Linked DNA regions of Struthio camelus. Each later gene encodes a partner of the first gene's protein in a complex. Links are inferred from orthologs where the notes say so. Each region holds a gene or a part of one and is shown on either strand. Other genes may lie near its edges.

What was found.
Region 2: CNOT10 (region 1) and CNOT8 share a complex: the UniProt entries of both Homo sapiens proteins name them as parts of the CCR4-NOT complex. The link is inferred for Struthio camelus from reciprocal best matches to the Homo sapiens genes CNOT10 and CNOT8.

Annotation. Positions count from the first base shown.
Region 1 is NC_090943.1:47,701,614-47,710,137, forward strand, and holds the start of CNOT10 (CCR4-NOT transcription complex subunit 10), read left to right. Parts: upstream 1-4,912; 5' UTR 4,913-5,202; coding exon 5,203-5,224; intron 5,225-5,378; exon of another isoform or gene 5,379-5,652; intron 5,653-6,356; exon of another isoform or gene 6,357-6,504; intron 6,505-6,663; exon of another isoform or gene 6,664-6,878; intron 6,879-8,524. UniProt on the Homo sapiens protein: Component of the CCR4-NOT complex which is one of the major cellular mRNA deadenylases and is linked to various cellular processes including bulk mRNA degradation, miRNA-mediated repression, translational repression during translational initiation and general transcription regulation.
Region 2 is NC_090954.1:11,999,794-12,008,618, forward strand, and holds the start of CNOT8 (CCR4-NOT transcription complex subunit 8), read right to left. Parts: upstream 3,659-8,825; 5' UTR 3,482-3,658; intron 3,468-3,481; exon of another isoform or gene 3,319-3,467; intron 3,185-3,318; exon of another isoform or gene 2,999-3,184; intron 2,354-2,998; 5' UTR 2,271-2,353; coding exon 2,154-2,270; intron 479-2,153; coding exon 285-478; intron 1-284. UniProt on the Homo sapiens protein: Has 3'-5' poly(A) exoribonuclease activity for synthetic poly(A) RNA substrate. Its function seems to be partially redundant with that of CNOT7.

The DNA.
Region 1 (8,524 bases):
AAACAGTGTCACTTGGAAACTGCAGGAGTGAAAAAAAAGAAGCTTTTATGCGTGAAGTTTTTATGACTGAGACTGGTGCAAAATATCTGCATGGGACAGACGAAAGGGGAACGTGCTGATTCCTAGAAGCCCCACAGTTGAGAAGTAAAGTTTTGTGGGATGTCTTCACTTCAGAGAGTTTCAAAATGTGTAATGGAGGTGCATGGCAACTGGCCAGTCCTTACCTGATCCAAAATAACTTCTGTGTGCCAAATATCCTGGAGATGTGAGGAACTACAGCACCAGCTGCTTACACCTACCAATCTACTCCTATTGCACCAAATGAATAGCTAAAGTAAACAGCCTATGCTATTTTATTCGTTGCTCATAGACAGAACAAAAACTGTAATGGGTTATGATGCACCATACTTTTCCAGGAAAATCTCTTCCACAGCATTCTGAAAGCACAAATTCCATATTTAAATCAGATTCATGGCACCATTTTTATCGACTTTGAGAGACAGATTCAGAGAAAAAGGATTATCGAGCTGAGACTAATAGCTGCATTGAACATGCTCAAATTCACACTAGTTAACATTTTAAATAAGAAGTGCATCTGCGGGGGTGGCGGGGGGACTGTATTACTTAAATATGCCTTACTTTACTACGTAGTGCCACCTAGGGGTTAAAAGCTTTGAAAATGTTGAGTAGCAAGGCATAGGAAGCCATATTAATAGCAGAGATAATTTGTGGTGTTAAACCATCTGCATTTTGGAATTTACTACGCAAACAGAGTGGGTAAACTTCAGCGGAGTTTTCCATACTGTTGTATCTGACAAAAGCATTGTAACTTTCCCAGCTCCCTTTGCAGCAGGTCATAGTCTTCCTTCTCTTCTGTAGCCCAGCAGTGCCTCGGGATGTCAGAAACCCTGGTTTTCTCCTCTACAGTCCAGATCTTTCTCATACGCAGCAGTGGAGAGGTTATCTGCCACTGATAGGCTGGGTAGGGGATTGCTGTCCTGCCATTTTTGGGTCTACAAGAACTTAAAAAAGAGCCTTGACAAGTCATTTGCCTTGTGAGTCCAAAATCAGCGAGGAAACGCAGGCCTACTAAGTCTAGTTTGCTAAAGGAAGGTACTGTAAGAAGGAGGAGTGGGATTCTGGAACTGTCCTCTGCCTGCGAATAGATAGGATTTATTCCTCCTGAAACTGCTTTTTTTTTTTTCCACTTACACGTTACAAATTACAATTGGCTCCCTTTGATGTAGCCTACAAATGGGCAAAAGAAACCTAGAATAATCTGGACCATTTTTGTTTTTCCAAACTGAGTGTTGGGACTGAAAACCTGAACTGGATTATTTCTTTCCTGAAAAACTAAAACTCATGTTTTAAGAGAAATGTTTTGTTTCACACAAAACGTTCTTCTCTCTCAAATGGTATTTGATTTTATTCTGGATCTTCCACAGCAGGTGGCGTACCTGCCACACTGAGACCAGAGATCATTTTTACCTGCTCACTCGAGAAGAGCTACTATATACCTCAGGCAGAAGGCAAATTATACATGCATGTATTAAAGGACGTCTCTCCCCTACCTTTACAGGAAGATAACGAAGCTATCAGAACATTTAATTTTTGAAGGAAAAATATCAAGAAAATCTTTGATTGCATGACTCTATGCTTGAACTGCAATGCTAATAAAGGGCACGGGTCTTTTCCCTGCCCTTCAGCACCCTCCACATACATAAACATTAAATTCAATAATCATTAATCAGAAAGGAAGAAAAAACTCCTAGCTTTATTTGTCCTGTGTTCTTTTTTTAAATAAATCATATTGAAAAAAGAGGCCAGGCATTAAAAATAATTTTGCCTGAGACATAGAAATGGAACAAATACTTTGGTTTTGGAAACAAAAGTCAAAAACTTGCCGAAACAATGCTGCAAGCTATAGCAAAGATTGTCGTAATTACCTCTCAGGTAAACTGGCCCCAGAGTAAATTCACAGCGTGATGGATAAAGTAAACTCTTGTGACTCTCCTCTAGATATCATGATGTAGACACCAAGAGAAGCTGTATATCAGTGCTGCTATACTTGAAGCTGAATGAGCTTTAACAGAACTATCAATAAAAGCTATAGCAGGGAGCAGTAAATTCATGCACAGCGTACTCTGGAACATGCAGATTACTGTTTAGACACTGGGGACAAATACTATACGAAAGTCTTGAGAGAGGGAGACGTTCACATCAGGTCTACATAAGACATTTTTGTTCCGTCAGGAAGGGTGGACGTCTGGCAACTTTGTTATACTGATAAAAGTCATAGGGAATATATAGCTATACTAGTAGAAAAGTCCTTTTCACTTTATAGGTTCTATTGCTTACCAAGCAAGAATATATCAGCATAAATAAATATTTACACTAGTAAATATATACACATTAGAAAGACTTGCTATTACAACTTTATTGGCAAATGTTCTCTAGTACAAATATGACCTAATGGCCTGGACCAGCAACTATTTCTTGCAAAAGGATATGCAACAAATTAGAGAACCAGCAAACAAAATTTGAAATATTCAGAATTTCAGTTATGAAATAAAAAATGTTTTGCCCTGCTCTTCAAAACTCCTGAAATAATGTTTCCAAAATCTTTCATGGTAAAGGACTCAGATGGTTAAAGCCATGATGGTTCAAGGCATTCAGTGCTGGCCTGCCTAAAGTGCGTCTGTTTTTTTCCAACTGTACCCCTTAGTTAAACAAAATGTTACTTTCCTTATAGACCTCACCTCTCTGTTCTGCCCCACAGTATAGTATAGTAGCTGGATGCCTATGACAAACAGACTGGTAAAAAGAAATCCTTCTTCCACTAAACTAGTTTTGCCATCGACTTCTCCAAGGACAAACTTCATCCTCAAACCTTAATCTAATGTGCAAGAGACATACAACAGGTGCAGTATGTTTTAGACAGTCTGGTGTCTCTTGACAAATGCTGCCAGCTGGTAACAGGGTCACAACCATGTAAGGTAGAATATATTAAGCAGAATCAGGTATATCCACACTGACTGTCCCAAACAGAAATGCAAGTAGATGTTTAACAGGAATAAAATTGGGGAAGGGGGGGGAGAGGTCTTGGAGAGCTACATCTGGAGAAATAATATGGAAAAATACAGGAAATTATACCCATATTAACCAATGAGAAAAGTATTTGAAGCAGTGTTTTTCAGGAACCCCACTGCGACACAGGGAAAGCACACAACATAATGATGCAAAGTGACATTCACAGAGGGGCAATTAAGGCTAGCTGTCCCCGTGTCTCAGGAATTTGACTCCTAGGTACAGAAACACAGTGAGCCTTTTGGTGCCTGAGACAGCACCCCCCCTCCGTTTTCCTAACCCCATCCCAGCTCCCACGAACGTATATAGTGGGGGTTCAGAAGTGGAAGCGGTTCCCCTAGGCCTATCCACAGGACAGCCCTACCTGAGAGGCAGGACAACACATGACTGCTGAGCTTACAAAGATGTACCTTAGCAGAGATGAATGCTTACATACTACACAGAGTATTCACAACTCATTAATAAATATTTAAAAATCTGTATAACTATTTTGGATGCTGCAAACGTCATTTATCCCATGTCTCGTACTTTAATTACAAAGATAATGGTAACAATAAAAAATGCTAATTGGAGTCTTTTAAATCCGAGGGGGGGTTACTTTGCAGCACAGCACACTGAATTTCAAGGACACTTCAGATTCATTGTGTGAAACAAGGCTTCCCTGGGGTGTAGAGGGAGGGAAGACTCCCGGCTGGATTAAACTGGTACTCAAACATCAGTTTACAAAGGAATTTAGGATGCAGACACAATGGCACCTTATCTACCTTAATTACTATGGTGATGAGCACTTTAACAACACTTAAGATAGGCTGATAATCCATATAAGACCATATAAAGTAGTCAATATTTTGAAGTGATTAATTCGAAGACAAACTGAAAGTCAAGATAGATTATTTCAGGAAAATCTGGTTATTTGATGCACTTTTAGGAAAAGAATGAAAATGCAGCATGAGTTACAAGTAAATAATGGGAATTATCAAAGTGGAGTTTCATGCTGGGATGCTGAGGGGAAAATCCCTTTAGTGTGCTCCCCATCATCTACATGGAAACCAGCCAGGGTTGGGGTTTGCCTTCTACCTCCAAGGTAGTTTGCTGTTGTTGAACAGGATCTACCGCTTCTCAAAACAGATGTATTTGAGCTCAGACCCAAACCCTCAGTTTTAGAGGGCCGTGTAGTATGTTTCCGTCCCAGCATCTCAAAAATTTTACTCTGAAGGACGGCGCTCTGCTGAGGAAGAGGCCGGGAAGGGAATTAACAGGTACTTTTTTAAAAATTACTTTGCTTTCCTAATAAGGAACATCTTTTCTTCATACCAGATCAGTGACATTTGAAAAGTCCAAGCCTTACACTGTTATCGGGATTGGCTGCTCAGGAAACGATCCTAACATGTCTAGACCAAGGGCGGGGGGCGGGGGGGAGGTTTAAGACGCAGCAGCCAATACACCCACGGACGGCTGCGGAAAAAGCAGCTGCAAAACCGAAGCAGCCTGTTGAAACGCTGTCCCTCTAACGCAAGGAGACGTCCCCCGTTTGGGCCTTGCGGGGACCGTTAGACGGCGCGTTAGCGAGGCCGAGCCGGGTCCCAACGGCCGCCAGGGCCCCCCTCCGCCCCGCTGGGGTAAGAAACAGGCCGGGCTGTTTTCCAGGCCCGCGTCCGTCCCTGGAGCGCCCCCGTCACCCCCCAACGGCCGCCAGCCGTAACATGGCGCCCCGACGCAGCCCGGCAGCGCCGGGGGGGGGGGGGGGGAGTGTGTTGGGGGGGGGTGGCAGTGAGTGCCGCGACGTGATGCGCATGCGCCACCCCGCCCCGCGGCCTCCCCTCGCGGCGTGGGGGCGGGGCGCTGCACGGCGTCCTGACGTCAGAGGCGCGAACCCCAGCAACGGGCGGACGTCGCGAGGCCGCCGGGAACCCGGAAGCGGCGGGCGAATAGGGAGCGAGTGGCGCAGTTAGCGGGGCGGAGGCGCGGCGCGGGGCGCTGAGAGTCCGCGGCGGAAAAGTAGTCCCGGGGGAGGAGGGGGGGGTGGTCCGCGAGCGCGGCTAGTGCTGCTGGGACGGGGTGGGGGAGCCTCGGCCCCGCACCAGCGCTCTCGGACGGAGCTCGGAGGCGGCGGAGATGGCCGCGGACAAGGCCGCGGGTGAGTGCGGGGCGAGCCGCCGTCGGGCCGCTCCGCGCGCGGGGCACCTGGGCCGCGCGGGGCGGAAGGAGACGCGGCCAAGGCCGCGGCGTCTCGTCCCCGTGTCCTTCCGCCGAGGGAAGTAGCGCGCGGGCGGCGGCGGCGGCGGCGGGGCGGCCGGCTGGCGGGCTTGCTCCGCCGGCGGGGCTGCCTGCCGGGGTCGCGGCGGCGCCCCGAGGCCTCGGCGGTTACTAACCCGAGGGCGGCGGGGGGACGGGGCTTCCCCCGGGGCTGAGTAACCGCAACAGAAGTTGCGGCTGGCTTAGTCTGTTCAACGGGGGCCTTCCGACGGCGTTGGGGGGCGATTTCGAAGAAGGCGACCACAATAAACCAGACTTACAATTACTGTATGACTTGCTGGCGCTGATAGCTACTGCTCTTCCTCTCCCGTAAGACTGCGCTTGATGCAGGAAGCCCTCCTGGCTGCGAGGTTCCTTCCCTCAGGTGGTGGCTGGGTGGGGATGAAGTGGGCAATGTGAGGGAAAGCCAAAAGGATCTGCTTGTGTCCTCGAGTCCTTCAGCTGGGCTTCTGCCGTGGGAGCGTTTCTTGGAATTGCCTCTGAAAATTGTCTTTCAATATGCTAAGTGTCACACTTGCTCTCAGTATCTGAAGACCACCGTGGGAAAGATTAGTGTACCTTGCTAAGTGATGCGTATTAAACCGTCCTGCATTTATTTAAAAGAAGCTCACTGTGATTATAAACTACCAGGAAAGTTTGGCGTTAGGAGATTATATATTTCCCCTTTCTTGGAAATGGTGAAGTCAGGAACTTGTCTGTTGTACTAGGTTAGAAGAAAAATACTTGTCCAAATGAAGCAAACACATTGGCTAGATAGTCTGCATATCTGCATGTATGTGCCTATAGCAGAGTGAGTTATGAATAACTTCTGAGTGAAAAATGTTTCCTTCTTAGTGTGCAGTGTTAAATCTAATATGTTGAGATTAGTAGCACAATGCTTCATAGAAAAATGTACTTTCTGAGCCACAAACTGTTGTTGTCTCCTTAGAAGGGCTGAATGCTTTGGCTGCTCTTCATAGCCATCAAAATGTTGTTGGAGTGAGACACCTGTGATAGATTCCTCTCTTTCCCAGGAGGAGATTATCCCCCTGCCTCTAGAGTTTGGAAATATAAAATAATTCGAGAGATGCTCTGGCATTCAACAGCACAGTTTATACAAGGTGTAATTTAAAGGGCCTGGAAACGAGAGGGCTCAAGAGCAGCAATCCTTGGAGATAACAGGTAGGAGAAGGATAACGATTGCAGTCACTGTCCTTTGGGTCTGTGTATGTGGGAGATGTGACTTCTCATTGCTTATATGATGTTGTGTCAGCAGGCCAAAGAGGAGGACAATCTCCCTTTGCAGGTGGCAATCTCATGCTCTTCCTTGTTCTCCTCTAGTAGAACGAGTTCCCCACAAAGCAGATTCTGCTGTCCACCTGGTGCAACTTCTCCAGGAGGAGCAACTACCTGCTGATGCAAAAAGAAATGTCTCCCTGACACAGTGTTTCTGCTGCTCAGCCCCATGTGATACAGGTTGCTAACCAAGAAGATAGTTTCCTGACTTGCTTTCTTTTACATCCAACCCAGTGCAGCAGCTTTCTCCAGATCAAAATGTGAGCAGATAATTTTTACATCCTTTCCCTTTTCCTGGATGTCATTTCTGCTCCTCGCCACTAGTCTGAGAACTATGAGTTTTAGAGATGCTTTGTACTTGAGAAGGTTAGACAACGTGAAAAGTGTAAAAACAAACAAAACAGCTCCACGTGTAGATAAAGTTTGCATAGATAAATTGTGTCCTGTCGTTTGTAAAACAGAGAATCTACACTGTTTCAAATAGTTCGGCTGACATTTGTAGCTGCTCTACAAATAGGAGCATGTTGATAATGACTAGCATGCCTTGTACCTCACGGACCACGTGCTTCTACAAGAACGCCAAAGATCACTAGATCTAAGTAGCATGCTGTATGTTTTGCCAGTGAACCATGTACTTTCGTTTTCAAACGCCTCCGGAAGTATTGACATAATTATTTGCAAGCAGTTGATAGACGTTTGCAGTCAGGATAATAAGAGTACTTTTTCTCCTAAATTTATAAGTGGGATTGGAGGGTTCTTTCTGGTATCTGGGGCAGCCTTACTTTAGATGTCTTGTTTGTGAGGTATCTCAATAATTAAGATCAACCAAAGCAATAGATCCTGGTTTAAACAAGTTTGGGAGGATTACAGTAGATTAGAGGAAGTCGATCAGTTTGGAGCCATAAAACTAACCTTATGGGAGAAAGGGAAGGCCTGTTTTTGCTTAAAATAGTCTCCAATTTCATACTAGGAGACTTAAGAGGTATAGTGAAATCTATTTGTAGACCTGTTGTGTTCTTTCCTAGGAAATAGGTGTAAAGCAGATATTCAGGAGTGCTTTTCTTAGACAACTAGCTTGCAGTCTCTTTGACCTAACTTTCTCTTAATTGAAGAAAAGGCGCTTTGCTTCGGGAATCAGACTTTCATAAGCCCAGTTTCTTTGAGATGCCTGTTTTGTGAACTTGCATACCATAATTACTTATGTGGGTTTTCATGGCACTATAACAGGTTTGTGAAAGTGCTTATAGTGATGTGACAAGTAGCTGTCAATGACATCTTCAGCATTATTCAACTCGCTGTGTGAACCCTGACTCCATGGAACATTGCGTAAACATGTTTTTATTGCATGTAGTGGTTTCTGAAAACTAGAACCTCCCTTTTCATACGGGTGCATTCAGTACCTAGTTCTGAGACAGTACGGAACTTTTGTCTTGATTAAAACTGTGGGGGACTTCTTGACCTGACTGACAGTTATCAACGCTCAGATGTTTCAGATTCTCAACTCTTTGCTTTACTGTTATTTTTACTAGCGTAATCTGAAAGGCGTACTGAGGAAGTAAAGCAGACAATACAATTTTCAGCATGAAAGTTAGAGAGCAAATACATTTACTTAATTAACTGCCATGCTGGAGTTCCTCAGAGTGCTAGCTTTCTGTTTGGCTGTACAACCACAAGATTTAGAGCAGGAATTGGATCTGTTGTATTCTAAGCTTGAAGAAGAGGTACCTTTTGTTCCCTTTTTCTTTAATTATAGAAAGCCTTGGCTTGTCGAAGGCTCCCCTTCTGCCTTTCCTTCTTAAGGAAAAGGCGATGCGAGTGGGGTTGATCAGTGTCTTGGTCAGATTTTGTAGCAGGTGCATGTAGTTCTTCAGCCTGCTAAGGATTCCCTCTACGAGTGCTGAGTAAC
Region 2 (8,825 bases), on another chromosome or scaffold:
CCAGAACACACGTTTACGGCACATACAAATACTGGGTATAAGCCATTTAGCGAGGAAAAGAGTATTAAGGATCACATTTTAGCAGAGCTTTGACTTCCAGAAATACTGCAAACTCCTGTCATGACAAAACAGATTCCCACATAATCTTTCTGTATTTGACTCTGAATTTGTATTGGTCAGAATCATTCACCAGTGATGAACCCAGTGACACCTGCATTTGCCAAAGGAAAACATCAGTGCATCAGCAGAGAATAGGTGATCGTTCCCTAGCTCAGAAGACTCACGTAAGGTTGAATTTGAAGTTAAACTGCCAGGTGTTGATTCCGGAAGGATATTCTCCCTTCTCATTTGTGAAAGTTAGGCCCAGCTGGATAATTTTCAGAAGGTCAACATTACAACGAAGGAGCTGGTATTGATAGTCTATGGAACTGCGGAATTCACCAATTGGCCTTACAACAACTCCAGGAAATTCTGTGTCCTAGTAAAGGAGGGGGGGGGGAAAAAATTACATCACTTCCTTTATTAGCAGTCTTACGTTCAGTTCCACACTTTTAGGTCCCAGCGCTGAATCTGTACATTTTTCTATGAAATTACTTACATAATAGAAGGCAGAAAGGAAAAAAAGTATTTTAAGCTACTGGGAAAAAAAAAAACTAAACAATTCATTAATCATTATATTCATTCATTCATTCCAGGTATCCTCTTTCAGTGTTGTTTCCTTCCAGAGCAAAAAAAAGTTATAAAATCACCCAATATGCACTACTGCATAATCTAAACATCTCTCTCCTGAAAGACTAATCCTCTCATTTTCCCTAAATACACTAAAATGGGCATTTTATATTTATTCAGTGTTCTTTTACGTTCTAAATACAAGTTAAATTTAGCACTCACAGTCTTAATGTGATAGTCCAGCTAGTGATAATCTTCACTGTTTTTGAAAAACAACCAACACCTAAATTAACAAAAGCTACTGCCAATCAAAACAGACTTCAACAAAAGAGAAACTGTGTGTTACATAAAAAACATTTTACTTGGCTAGTGATTGCGTGCTATCTTGACTAAACCTCTAACTTCTAGACTAGTTTTACACTCAAATTTATTCACATAACTTCTGACCAGCTTGATAGAGAACATATCCAAAAACTTTCATAAAGAATCCAGTATTATGCATCTGACAACATTTCCTCCTAGCCTAATCTTTTTGTGTCCAGTCTTACTGCCCAGTTATTCATATATGATATCAGTCCAGCCATTAGCATAGATCTATCTAAACATGCTTTCATTAACATCAAACAGAGCAAAGAAGCAAGAAAGCTTGTTTCCCACCAACTGATGACAACAAAACTGAATCACATTTACAGGATTTTAAGTGTTTCATTTTTGAATAACATATACTCTGCAGGGATATGTATTTTTATGCCACACTTCTATTAAGGACTTCGAATGTCTTGAAGTTTAGACTCCCTAAGCAAAGTTGACATAGTACAATAACTAGAAACAGTTATGTAATTAACTGGCTCCTGCTGAGCAGATACCTATTTTTAAGAGCAGGAAAGAAACCATTCCTCCCATCTCTCCCTTCACCTTGAAACTAGAGTTCTCATTAAGATCCTTGGTCTTCTGAAATAAAACTCTTCGAACACATTGCCACACCTGCAGCCAGAAAAATCTATTCCATAAGAATCAGCATCTGACCGCAGTAAAAAAAAGGAGGCATTCCTACCAGCCACCAAGTTGCAACTTGCAGGCCTTTTGTCCTACAGTATCATGGCATTTCCCATAGCCAAAAGGAAACAGGCATTCAGAGGACAAGTATACCAGTGAAATCTGAAGATTTAAACCCAATTGTACATCTGATCTCTTTAATTTGAGACTGCATTAGTTTATGCAATGGGTATAGTTAAATATTAAATGATTTCAGATGTTGAAAGTGGTTTTCACTTCCCCACCTCTCATTCAATCTGTACGGAATACTATGTTTACCAAAATCCATGAAGTCCTTATAACTGAACAGCTTTCTAAGTTTTCACTACTTAACTTTTAGCTCAGTTTGGTCACAGGAAAACACCATTTCTGGTTCAAGAATCAATTTATTCTCCTGCCCCTAAAAAATCCCCTGACTGTGGCAATAAGGTCAAGTATAACATGCTTACCATTGCAATGTAACTGTAACTTAGAACAATCTCTCGAATTTTCCTCATCTCTTCTTCCAGATTGTTTGCCCATACTTCACAGATAACTTGGCTGTTCTCTGCAAGGGCTGCTGGCATCTTGCAGGGATTGTAGTAAAAACAGCTGATGTTGAATTCAGTTGACAGCGTAGAATTGCAAGCTGTGTGATCTAATCAGTTTGCTGCATTAAAGAGAGAAACATACAGTACTTTACACGAAGAAAGATCTAGGTATCTGAATGAATGCACTAGCAGAGTAAGTCACGTTTCTATTCTTAACCTCAAATAGCAAAGCTAAAGTTTTACACTAACTGTTTCCTTGCTTTTATCACTTCCTTTAAACATGCTGAAAGAGAAGAAAAACTAAACCATCCGTTTGTGTTACAAGAGTAGACATACAATTAATAGAGTCCAGTTATGCAAGTCAATAGTGCCTCTCCCTTTCATCTTCTCCTGGCATAAACTCTGAAACTCTAGGCATAAGATGCACAAACAGGGAATCCTCACACTTAATTTTGCTTAGCTTCCACCAAGGTGCTATTGGGATAGTTTTGAAGACAAGTAATAGATTGCTTTACAAAGGACACTTATAAAGGCAGATGCTTCTCTGATGTAATTCAGGAAACACTGAAAAAGAAAGGTATTCCAGTTTATACTAATGCCGTTTCAGCAGTACAACGCCTAGGATAAATCACACTTGGCATGACTGCTTGTCTATCACTTTCTGAAACCACACGGGCAAAATTATTACAGAAATACGCAGCTAAGGCTCAGGTACTGCAGCAAACTGCCGGTATGCTCGCACGAAGTTAGCTGAGGGTACCTACAGCGGGGAGAGGGACGTGAGGCAACTGCCAGAGCCTTTCTGCGAGCGGCTGCTAATGGCTCGGGCCTCACGGCCGGGGGGCCGTCAGCCGCCGCCGGGCCGAGCCGCTTCCCGGCAGCGGACGGGCTCAGCCGCGAAGGCCGCGCTGCCGCCCCGGGCCCGCCCGGCCGTCCAGGCCTCTCAGGCCGCTGCCGGGCCCGCCGCCACCGGGGGGGCACAGGGAGGGGAGGGGAGGGGAGGGGAGGGGAGGGGAGATCCCGGCGCCCCGAGCTCTGCCGGCGCTGGGGGCCTCCCGCAGCGCCCGGGCCGCCCCGCCCGCACCTGCTGGCGCCGCCAGGCCCCGCCGCTCGCGGCTCCGGGGAGCTGGGCCTCGCCGCTCCTCTTCCTGTGGGCCGCCCGGCCGCTCTAGCCCGCGCTCACCCCCGCGACTCGTCTGCTCCGGCGCTCCCCATCGCCTCCCCGCCCCCTCCCCCCGCCCCGCTACCTGCCCGGAAGCTTGGGCCGGGCCACTCGCCTCCGCGCAGGCGCGATGCGGCCACCAGGAGGGGCGGAACTTCCGGGCTGCCCCCGGCCACCGCCCGCTCTCGCGAGAGATATGGGAAACGGGCTAGGGCGCGCGGCGGGGTGTGTGGCCGGGCGCGCGTGTGGCGCGCGCTCCCGCGGAGAGGAAGGGAGGGGGGCGGGGGGAGCCCGGAGCGCCACGCGGGGCTCCGCCCGGGTTGCGCCTGCGCGGAGCCGTTGCCCTTGTGACAAGTCGCCTGTCTTCCCTCCCCCTGCCGGGGCAGCTAATGGGCTCGCCCGAGCTCCCCGCGCCGGACGCGTCGGGCGAGTCCAAAGCCCGCCCGGGGGGTGAGGGTGGGGGAGGCGTTAGGTGATCTCTCCCTGAGGGACCGACCCCTTCGGGCCGCGCCGCCTCGTTAGCTCGGCGCCGGCCCCGGTCGGGGCGGCCGCGGCCCGCGGGCCCTGCCGGGTGGCAGAGCCCCGAGAGAAACAGCTGCCCTCGCCGAGGGGACGGGCCGCCCCCTTAAATGCCATTTAGGTTACATTAGCAACAGGAGCTTTACCGTCAGGTAAAGCAGCCTCATGTAACGCGTCTGGCGTAACGGCGCTGCCAGCTCTCCTGCTTTGCTGGCCGATGCTGCCGGCAGGCAGGCAATGTATTTGGAAGCCTGTGTAGTTACAATTAAGCGGAGGTAGTACCTCGCTTCGTCCGGGCTGCCAGCCTTCTTGGGCAGGTTTGCAACCTAGAATTCTGCAGCTCTGCTACTGCTGCAGAATTGTTTCCTGCCTGTCATTTGGGTTCCCTTGGAGTCTGTCCTCTTGAACCTCGGCTACCTCCTTACTATTCTGATACAATTATCTGGCGGGGCGAGGGAGTCACTGTCTTTCGTGTCCGACATGTTTCGGTGTCCCAGGCTGAGTATTCATACCTCAGCAGAAATGTAAGACCTCTTAGGATAAGTTTATTTGAATACTGCTGCTTTCTAGCAAGTGTCCTTGATGGTGTCAGCATCTACGGACATCAAGCAGTATTTACTGAACTTCATTTTAATTCAAAGCTTATCTTCGTAGATGATAGTTACTGTTTTGCCATCTCACCTTAGACCTGCAGTCTCTAGGTCATATAATGCATATATTATGCAACATGCTAGACTAGCAGAAAGCAATCACCTTTCTTCCTATGGTCACTTGAATTTGGGCAAAGAAACCTAAGTTGTTATCAGGTAAATACATCGGGATAGATTGCAGCACGCCATAAATACGGAATTAGATTCTTGGTTTTTGTTTGTTTGTTTTTTTTTTCACTTAAAGAGTTCAGAGTAAGGTATGTACTTTATTTTTCTTGCTCATAAGCCCAGCTCTTGAATTTATGTTGAATCCAGGCAAAAAGGGAGGAAGAATCTTCTCAGGACACAGAAATGTGCATGCTTTGTTACCCTAATCGAAAATATGTTGCAGGAAAAAAATCAGTTGGGATAAATTATGCTTAATATGTTTGCCAGTTTGCAACTAGGTTAGAAAAAAAAGCTAGGATGTTTGAGTGCTGGCGGTAGTTTGAAACAGACCTTTTGCTCAAGGAGAACAGAATTTGTGTTTTTCATCATGGCTAATTTCAGCTGCATACAAAGGAAAAATAGCTGGAAAAGGCAGACTGCTCTTAAAATATGTCAGTCCCATAGTTCTTATATTTGGAAGTTACCAGACTTGCTTTCAGATTCATCACTCCAGAACAGGTTCCTGAACAGGCTTCCCACCCTCTATACAGCTCTGTTAAGACGACACTAACAAAACCAGTCCATGTGTAGATGTAGTACGCTGCAAGGAGGATTGACAGGCTTTAGCTCAACATTTTTGTACTAGTCAATATGAGCTGTATATTCCGGATCATGCCCTTTTCAGCAGCACAAAGAGTAGACAGCTTATATATGGAAATCTTAAAATACATGACTTCAGAGTTAAAAGATAAAAGTATTGCTGAACATGTTTTAGCTGTAACCATCATTTCCATTTTCCTAAAACTTCTATTGTTCCAAAGGTGTTTCAACAAGTATTAGGTGGCACACACATGCCCTCACAGATGGTTAGAACTATAGCTTAGTATACAGGGAATTAATGATGAGCTGAGGTTCACGAACTCCAGGATTCATCTTTGTCATTAGTGGAATTATTAGCATGGTTTTATACTATCCTTTAAGCTAATTCCTAGTGTTTCTCCTTCTAATATTTTTTACAAACAGCAAAACAGACAGTGACTACTACAAAAACTGTAGAGAGTGAACAAAGAGAAGTTATTTTATGAAGTGTCTGATCAAAAATCCTTTCCACTGAGAGGAAAGCAGTCTTCTTGCACTCCTCAAAGCTGAGCCTCGGCAAAGGTGGCAGTAACACTGGAGGGTTTTGTGATGAAGATACCAGTGCAGGGCCCAGGCTAACCAACAAATAGAAGCAGCTTTTAGATAACCTCCAACCTGGACTAGACCCAGACTTGCAGTCCAAAAAGTAAATGACATTTTTGTCCTCATATGACTAAAATACTGGTTGTCTGTTCCTATTGGGTGTAGAGCTTTCAGCTGTAACCTGTGTCTGATTTGAACAGGTTTAAAAGAAACTCTGGGGTCTGCAAAACTCCCTGGCTTTTCACCTACTTTTGCGTATTGGGTGAACAGTTCTCCTAGTGAAGAGCCATTCCAAATAAGTATCAGCTCAGGACAACGTTCACATGGCACCCCTCTCGTGAAATGCCATTTTCCACTTCCTCTTCTGTGTATGTGTAAATAGTTTGAAGGAATCACTTTCCTTCTTGTTGAGTCTGCTGTATGCTAAATAACAATTAGGAGCAACTGCTAAGAATTAAAAACTCTTTTGTCACTAAGAAATAGTTAGAATTAGTCAAGAGAAAGCGTCAATGCAAACAATAACACAGTCTTAAATCTGAAATGAAGCAACAGCAAATGGTTTTAGCGCTAAGAGGACAAACAGTGTGATGTTGGGAGGGGAGTTCTGGGAATATTCTCCTTCCAGAAAAAGTTAATTGGTAACAGCATAGGTATAGTGCGAGGTAGAAGAAACCAGGCACAGACAGCAAGACACTGTCATTACTCATGCTTGCAGATCTCTCCGCAGCTCTAACCGTGGCTAGCTGAGATGTTGCTCACAAAATAGCACTGTATATTGCTTCGCCTATGAATGCACCAGACAAGTTTAACTAGGAGGGAGAGGAAATACTCCTTATTTTTTGTTGTGTGGGAAAATAAATCTGGAAAGTTATGGTGAGTAGTAACACCCTCCCTTCTCAGAGTTTGGTTCATAATAGGGCACTGTATGTTAGGTAAATAACGTGTATTGGGGCCACATCTGCATAATGAAGACAAATGCTACTGCAAATTACATCTTGCTACCTGTAATACCATAATTACAGACTTCATGGTCTTTAAACATCTTATTTAAACAGAACTGAGCACATTCTAAGCTATTTGCATCTTCTGCTTATAGGTAGTTCCAATACTGTAACTGGTGTAACTGGTTTGAAACACACTGTAACAACAGAGTTAGTGCAACACTTACTTATATTGAAAACTGAACTGCTTTTTTTTTTTACCAGATTCCCCAATAACCCGTACTGTTTTTAACAAATACACTTTTGACTTACTCAATTGCACTGACGCTTTGTTTTGTGCTCAAAACATGAATTAGTGCATTATAAAAGATACTCATCTTTAAGGTGTAGCTGGCTTTTTTATTCCCAGATATAAGCATTAACTCTCAGTGGAAAACTCTCACCTGCAGAGATACATTCCAAATGCTTAAATGAGTGACAGTGTGTGCATATGCAAAGGGAACACTGCCTGTACTAGCAGTGACATGGCATTGGCTTCACATGACTTCTCTAGGAGGGGACAGCCAGCTCTCGATTGGAAACACACCCCTGTCGCCTTTGCCTAAGCCCTCATAAAGTTTCCGCAGCGGGAGTGAAAGGTGAGGAGTTGAACTCTGGGCTCTGAATAGACACAGAGGAACTCTGCTAGGCTGCAACCAGCAGGAGGTGAGCAAAGAATGGGCAGCCTGAGTTCAGGGGCAGAGTAGGTTGAAAATATATGACAGAAACTTCAAGGAAATAATTTTAAGGCAATGTCATGTATCTATTTAAAATGTGATTGTGAGCTCTTGCAGGTACTCTGGTTGCCTTCAGATCCGTGTGGTGCTTGGCACGATAGGACACCCACCAGACACGAAATATAGTCCTGTGTCTGTCCATATAGCGTGGCTAAAATGCAACTTTTGGAGTGACCAGGTAGGTGGTCCTTAAGTTTTCGTTTCTGTAAGTTCTATATTTTCACAAATAGTTATAGCCTTTTTTTTTTTTTTTTTCCCCTCGGGCAAGGTTGTTTTCCACTGCCTGTGCACTATAAGGGTGGATTCCAGTGAAGTAAGTTCTAAAATAGAAGACTCAAGCAAGAGGGAAAAAGGCAGACCAAGCAACTGCTAGGCAGTCAGTCCATCATTACAGACATATCCTGTTGGTCAGCTTCTGCACCTGCCAGCAGCCTGACTGTTTGTTTGGTGTCAGAACAAGACATACATCCTGGGTAAGTACAAGGAGAAGTGGACACCGGTGCAGTCGAAGCTTGGGACTGTCTTGGCAAGAGGAAATATAGGGGGACAACAGATGTGGGATATAAACAATAATGTGAATTTTGAAACAGACCTCAAAAATATGGCAGTTCCTTTTTCTAAAGCTTTCTAAAGGTTTCCCTTTCAGCTTACGTCAAGCATTTTAAAACCTGGCTTAGACAGACTATCTTTTTCTGATAACTGGAATGGTTAAGTTCAGTGAAAACAGATCTCTTCATGAACAGTTGCTGGAGAAATGAAGAAGTACTTGAGAATAAAAATTGTATTTTGTATTACAGTTCTTTACTGACTAGTTTATGTTTTCCCTTTTACATTGAGAGTGTGACTAGCAAAATAATTATTATTACTTTATAGGTGAGAATTTGGTTTGAATCAAATTTTGTATTAACTAGTTAGAAATAACCTAAAAGAAACTCTTTTAAACAGCATCAGTTCTGTGTAATATTTTGAAATGGCTCCAGCCAGCCAAACTCTTCATTGGTTGATTCTGGGCTGTCTGGCATGCCAGCATGAGTTTAATGCCAAGGGGTTGGATGGAATGTTTGGTTTGCCAAAGCAGCCATGGTTACATGAATGCTTCTGCTAATGTATTTGGTGTATTCTGAGTCAGAAAAGACAACATTATCCAACAAAAAAAGAGTAGGTAGTGAGATGGGGAAAAACATGATCAATCAAGATTTACCTTGCTTTAGTAT